2 linked regions of the Kluyveromyces lactis genome follow. The main gene of each other region encodes a partner of the protein of the gene in region 2 in a complex. Links are inferred from orthologs where the notes say so. Each region holds a gene or a part of one and is shown on either strand. Other genes may lie near its edges.

Region 1 (3,177 bases), on a different chromosome or scaffold from region 2:
CGAGGGATTACCGGGTCAGCCATCCGTGATGGCTCTTGAAAGAAGGTTCGGATCTACTTGGAGAAGCAGTGCAGGTGAAAGAACGTTCTTCCATAAGAGGTACGTAATAATACAAAGGATAGAAACGATTCTTCGTGAACCTTCGAGGTTTAACCTCCCGCTTGACATCACCAGAAGGAAAGCTGTACGCGTTATTGAAAACTTACGCGTGGGTAACAACAGATATAACAACGGATCGCCCTGCTGTATGACCTTAGCACAACTTTACCTCTATTTCTCTAAGTATATGGATTCATATGACGATTATTCGTTATCATTGAAGAACAAAGACGCTCCAAGTATTCGAGAAATCAAAAGCAGGCAGAAGAAGAAGACTCCATCCCAGTTGGCAGAAGAACATTCCATCATGACATGAGACCTGTATGACGAACTGTATGTAACTTTTTAATTTGATATTCTATATTCTATATATATATATATACAAATATGTGCGAACGTGTAGGATACCCTCACCTACTTCTTGACCGGTTTAGTCATTGAAGCCCATCTCTTTGAGTCCTCTGAGAACAACTCCTTCATTTCTGTTTGTTTCTGCACCAGGATCGCAGACCAATCATGCAACAGGTCAACGTATTCTTCCTCTACTTCCACAATGGCAACGTCTTGCAGTAAGATATCTTCGCTAGCAGTGAAATCCACCTCATCTTCAATGGCACATTTTCTAGTGAATTCAATCAACTCTAGTGCCAGGTGAGGACAGTTGCCATTCCTTTCACTGATCGATTCTACTAACCATTGAATTCCCTTGATATATATCCTGTAGCTGTCATTGATACAAACAATGGTCTCCTCACTAACGACCAAATCCTCATTCAAAGTCTTAGAGATCGTTTCGCCTCTCATCGGCTGTGTAATGTAGAAGTTCAACAGGTCTAATATTTCAAACACTTTGATTAAATATGCTCCCAATGGATCGATCACTTCGTTTAACCGTTTTCCAATAAGATCATTCTCACCTTCAAACGACCAGCTGTGTAAAACATCAGCCATGAACCGTAGTTTCTTAACGTACTTGATCAATGTCATCCTTTCGAAACGTAGCGTGCTCACACGACGCTGGACTGCGATAAGGTTGTTCAAATAGTCCACATATCTTGATATATAATTTGAATATGTGGAAACCAATTGTAACACAGCATCCAGAATCTCTTTCGAGATAACCACTTGACAGTAAGCCATGATAACTTGTCAAACTAAACCAATTGAGCAGTTAGTGGGCCCTTTAAACGGTTTTTAAATGCTTTTTCTTCATGCCCATCGCTGGTCTTCACCGGATAACATTAAAACCGAAAAGCCTTAATATTTAAAGAACCTAAGAATATTGGAGAAGTAAACCTTTAAATACCGAAACACAATACACAAATGTCAGTTAAGAGTTTAGTTTACTTTGAAGTTGGTAGTTGTTACATCAGTTGAGACAAACAACCAGTGCAACATGTCCAAGTTTAAATTTACAGATTTGAAGTCGATTCCTGGCAAGATTGAGCTTGCTAAGCAGTTTTACAGGTCTCGACAAGCCAGGTTAGCCCAAAGCAAGTCCCCTAGGGCTACTGATATCAATGAGAGGATCAGGAGTTTGCAGAAGCTTTACTGGGCAGTGAAGGATAATGAGGAACGTCTTATTGCAGCAGCAAGTAAGGATTTCCATAGGGCAAGAAGTGAAACGCTTACTATTGAATTAGTCCCCTTGTACAACAATATCCTTTATTTGATTAAAAACATGAAGAAAGAGATCGAACCAAAGAAGATTAAGGTTAGTTTACTTGCACATTGGTTCGGTACGACTTTCGTGGAAAAGATCGCATTGGGGACCGTTCTTGTCATTTCTCCGTTTAATTTCCCCATATTATTGGCATTGGATCCATTAGCTGGAGCCATCGCCGGTGGTAATTCCGTGGTGTTCAAACCTAGTGAATTGACACCAGCATGTGCTGAAGTAATGGAAGAGATATGTAATGAGGCGTTTGAAAAGGGTCAAGTGGAGACGGTGCAAGGTGGCGCTGAAGAAACAAGTGCTTTAGTCGAATCCGGTAAATTCGATAAGATATTTTACACTGGATCTACGACCGTTGGGACAATCATAGCAGAGAAGGCTGCTAAGAGTCTAACACCATGTGTATTAGAACTTGGTGGGAAGTCTCCAGTGTTTATATCCCCCAACTTGCCTAAATCACAATGGGAGACTGCAATAAGAAGAATTTATTACAGTTCTATGGGGAACGCAGGTCAGATTTGTGTCGCCGCAGATTATGTCCTATGCCCTGACTCGATCTACGATGAGTTTGTTGATTCTTGCAAGAAAGTATTGAATGAGTTTTACCCTTCTGTCACCTCTGACACTGAATATACTCACATGATTCACGAAAGAGCCTACAATAGGATTCAAACCGTCATTGAGACCACTAAGGGTCAAAAAACTGTTGCTCAACATTCAGACAATCTCCCACCGTTATGTATCCCACCCACCATAATCTCAGACGTTTCTTGGGATGATCCAAGTATGACCGGTGAGAATTTTGGACCCATCTTACCTATCATGAGATATACTGATTTGGATGAAACCATCGATACTCTCATTAAAAGATTCGACACACCTCTTGTCCAATATATTTTTACTAATTCAAAGGATGAAATTGATCACATCTTGACAAGAATTAGATCTGGTGCTTGTGTTGTTAACGACACATTGCTTCACGTTGGTATCGAAGAGGCTCCTTTCGGTGGTATAGGAACCTCGGGTTACGGTAATTATCATGGCCCTTATACCTTCAAGACGTTCACTCATGAAAGAACTATATTCAAACAACCATTTTGGGTGGACCTCTTGATATATGTTAGATATCCTCCGTTTGATAAACTCAATACGAGGATTTCTCAGATATCTTTAGAGGATAAACCAAACTTTGACAGAAATGGCCGCAGAATTTATGGCATTAAGAATATTGGCATCATCTTAACGTCTGGTGTATTATTGGGATTCTTAATCAATGCCATGATGTGATGGAGTTCTATGATCCGGTGTTTTCTTTCGTATTATGACCCAGTTTTTCATAACTATGATTTCTATTTTATATTTACAAAATATGTAGTACTTATGATCTGTTACTTGTTTTCTTT
Region 2 (3,882 bases):
ACATTTATAGGATTTCCATTTCCTTCCAGTTAGAGATCTTTTATTCTTGGCATGTATTACACCGGATTGAATTAGATGCGAAGGTTTTAAGGCGTCATAAAACTCGAAAAACTTCTTGTCTTCTTCGACAACTCCGTTATTAATAGATTTTATATCAGAAGTGGAATTGGTATCTTTATTTTCTTTAACGACTTGAGTTGTTTTCTGTATCCCATGTTCATCAGCTTGTTCCCCTTCAATTTGTTCGTCATCGGATTCTGCAATCTCAAGGTCAGATTCAGAGCCATAATTGTTCAAGTGTGGTAATAACTCGTTGATGGACTGTACCCAACTACGGATTACATCTGCATCTGGAGATTTGAATCGTAAAGTCATCCCCTTCGTGAAGATATCAAGCTTGTTATCCCCGTACGCTCTGCATCCCAAAATATCTTGTATCGGAATAACTTTCTCGGCAACCCTCTCAGACTCATCCTTATAATAACTGAATTGCGTCTTCCTTAAGACGCACCAGTACTTGTGATTGTATTTCGTCTTCTTGACACTCCAATTAGTCCAGTTCTTTGCCAATTGTTTCGTGGATGAAATAGACTTCGAGACGGTGGGTTTTTTTACAAGATATGACGAATAAATAATCTCTTCATTATCTTCGAAGGTTTGTTGTCCCATTTCTTCTTGCAGAGACAACTGTCTAGTACTATGATATTGATTTCGCCGTTTTCCTTGTAAAAATGATGATTTCCAGGCGGCACGATCGGCCAGTGGTCATTGTAATTTGTTGTCGTTTTTGTTTAATCGTTTAGGATTCGTGCCAAGTTCCTTTCTTTATACAAATAATCCTTTGTTTCGAAAATATATGGAAATGGATCATGCAGGAAACACAAGAAACCGATATCCTGAATACAAAAATGAACGCTGATGAAAGTATGTAGATCTTCACTACTACCTGCTCGGTTAGGATGAGTACTTGAACATAGTGTTGGTATTCTCTGGAAAATCGGATTCAAGAAAGGTAACGTTTTTATTCAAATCATAAATTCTATATAATGAATTGTGAATCGCTAGATTTATGTATAAGTTAGAAACGCCAGGATAATTTATTGACAATATATGTTTGCCAACAATAGAATATTGGGAAATACTACTCTTGCTATCTATTACGGTTCGGATCTGATGATATTCTGATTGATGAAGCTCTTTTGAGGCCAGGCAATTGAGTTGAACTGCTAGATGGAGGCGTTTGTTTGTTTGATGGTATTGAGAAGCCAGTAGGAGTTCCATAAAAACTTGTCCTCTTTTGACCACTAGTTTTCCTCTTGGGATTTCTTAATTGTGGGATAGACGCTTTGGGTTGTTCTTGAATGGTAATACCTTCTGCTTGTGCTTGTGATTTGTATTCTTTCAATAAAGCTTGCGCTTCTCTTAACGAAGATTGCCAACTATCAAGCCTTAGTTCTTTGATATTATCTTCTATTTGCTCAGATGCATGTTTTTTAAAGGATTCTTGAGCACTGTCTAGTGACTCTAGTTTATTTTGTATCTTTTCATCGATTGCCAATACTTCCTTCGTCTTAGATTCCAACTGTTTGGTCATGGATTGTTTCAAAGACATTAGATCATTTCGTAAAGTGCTTGTTTCGTTCGTGAAAAACTGTTTATAAGATTGGTGTGCATCGACGATAGCTTCATATTGAATTTTATACAGAGTCGATTGTTCCGTAAGCTTTTCGTTTTCGAGTGATAGTTTCTTAACGGTTTCTTCTAACTCAAGATTTTTTTTGGCTGCATCTTCATTGAACACAGTTTGTTTCTTCAAAGAACTCTCCAATTCATTCATTCTATTAGTTTTCCTATCTAGTATTGCATTTAGGTTCATATTTTCTGTCTGCAGTCTCGAGATGGTCTCCAATTGTTTATTCTGTTTCTTCCCAGAAGATTCCAATTCATTCACTAATTGATGGCATTGAGACGTCATTTTAAGATTCGTACTCGTCAGCTCGTCTATCTGCTTGTGTAGTGATTCTATTACTCTACTGGTAGAGTATTTTCCCGGTGTGTATGCACCTAGCTTGGACGGACTCTCCTGATTCTCTAGGTTCGTAATAAAATGGCCATGGTTGATATTGAATTTGCTTGAATTCACACCTTTCGTAGGAGTCAAGAACTCTTGTGCTTCCGTCATCTTCATCCACAGTCGGTCCTAGATATTACTTCCAACGATTCTGGAACTTTAACTGAATGCTTCTGTCATTCTAAGTTGCGTGTGTCTTAATATTAACGTATTTGTTTCAGTTCGATATCGTTTTTTTTTCTTGAAATGTAAACAATGATCGTTTTAATGATCTACTACGAATAGTACTTCGAGAGAGACTGCACAAGAAGAAACTGGGCTCGATTCACCCATTTATAATGAAGCTAGCTCTATTGAAGGTATAATCACAGAGGTGGATTTCTAATTTACAGATTAACGAAGAAGAAGGTAAATAAGAGTGTATGTAACTAAACTAAGATGTACAAATATCCAAGTATCTGCCGATTGCGTTTTATAATAGCCCATTCTGAAGAAAACGCTCTACATTCCCCCAGAAAATTGCTTGGCCATTTCTTGCATACTTGGATCTTGCATCATTCCCATGATATCTTGCATGTTTGGCATACCACCTCCAGATCCTTTCATCATACTCATCATCTTGTTCATCATACCAGGATTCTGTCTCATACGCTGTTGAGCCTGTTGCATCATTTGTGGAGAGATATTTGGCATACCAGGGATTGATGGCATACCAGGGATAGAAGGCATACCTGCCTTTGGTGGCATTCCGCCTTTTGTTGGGAGTCCTCCCATTTGTTTAGTTGTTTGCGCCATTCTTGCCATCATCTGTTGTTGCATTAAAAGCATTTCAATATCAAATACCGTTGTTCCGGAACCCTTTGCCACTCTTACCAACCTACTAGGTTCATCGATGAAGATTCTACCGTCCGATTCAAGTTCCTTCTTGGTCATTGAATCAAAAATATACACCATTGTCTTCATTTTCTTTGAAGTTTCCTCTTCTGAGAATTGGTTAAGCATATTCCCCATACCAGGAATCATATTCGCGATGTTTGATAGGGGACCCATCTTCATTATTGTTTGCATCTGGTTCTTGAAATCAAGTAGAGTGAATTTACCCTGTTGGATATTCTCTAAAGTATTCTTTGCATCATCTTGGTCAGATACTGTTTGGAAACGTTCCATCAAAGATTCGATGTCACCAATTCCGAGAAGCTTAGAAACAAACGACTTGGGAGAGAACTTTTCAAAGTCATGGATGTGTTCACCAGTACCAATAAAGATAATTGGAGTATTTGTGGATGCTACAGCTGAGATTGCACCACCACCTCTTGCATGACCATCCATCTTAGTTAAAATAATGGAACCGAAATCTGCACTTTCTTTGAAAGCCTTAGATTGATGTTCTGCGGCTTGACCAATGGATGCATCAAGAACCATAATTGTCTGTTTTGGTTTGACAGCTTGCGATATTTCAACCATTTCTTGGAATAGAGAATCTTCCTGTTGATGTCTACCAGAGGTATCGACGATTATAATTTCAAACTTTTCCTTCTTGAACTTGTCCACACCATCTTTTGCAACTTTGACTGGATTAGGTTCTGTATAAGAGCCGTAGAATGGAATCTTGGCCTTGATGGCATTTTGTTTCAACTGATCAAATGCACCGGCACGGAAAGTATCAGCACAAACTAAACCAACTTTGTAACCACGTTTTGAGTAATACACCGCTAGCTTTGTACAAGAAGTGGTCTTACCAGAACCTTGTAAACCAACAAACATGATAACGTTGCTCTGTCTCTTCTTAGGTTGAAATGGAGAGGTCACTT

Evidence for each region. Proteins that work in one complex are often made in the same cells at the same time.
Region 1: the proteins of SHE3 (region 2) and SHE2 are in contact, whole or in part, in a crystal structure (PDB 4WNL), measured with the Saccharomyces cerevisiae proteins. The link is inferred for Kluyveromyces lactis from reciprocal best matches to the Saccharomyces cerevisiae genes SHE3 and SHE2. Residues at the interface, in NP_009688.3 of Saccharomyces cerevisiae: Val363, Leu364, Pro365, Gly366, Val367, Lys368, Arg369; in NP_012792.1 of Saccharomyces cerevisiae: His150, Lys153, Trp157, Glu190, Thr191, Ile194, Gln197, Glu198, Ile199, Leu200, Leu211, Ala214, Trp215, Ile218.

What each region holds. Positions count from the first base shown.
Region 1 is NC_006038.1:1,092,744-1,095,920, forward strand, and holds SHE2 (She2p), read right to left. Parts: upstream 1,240-3,177; coding exon 514-1,239; downstream 1-513. Other genes in the region: EUC1 (Euc1p), read left to right, coding at 1-415; HFD1 (hexadecenal dehydrogenase), read left to right, coding at 1,496-3,061. UniProt on the Saccharomyces cerevisiae protein: RNA-binding protein that binds specific mRNAs including the ASH1 mRNA, coding for a repressor of the HO endonuclease. Part of the mRNA localization machinery that restricts accumulation of certain proteins to the bud and in the daughter cell.
Region 2 is NC_006040.1:759,101-762,982, reverse strand, and holds SHE3 (She3p), read right to left. Parts: upstream 2,189-3,882; coding exon 1,151-2,188; downstream 1-1,150. Other genes in the region: OPY1 (Opy1p), read right to left, coding at 1-669; RNA-binding signal recognition particle subunit SRP54, read right to left, coding at 2,573-3,882. UniProt on the Saccharomyces cerevisiae protein: RNA-binding protein that binds specific mRNAs including the ASH1 mRNA, coding for a repressor of the HO endonuclease. Part of the mRNA localization machinery that restricts accumulation of certain proteins to the bud and in the daughter cell.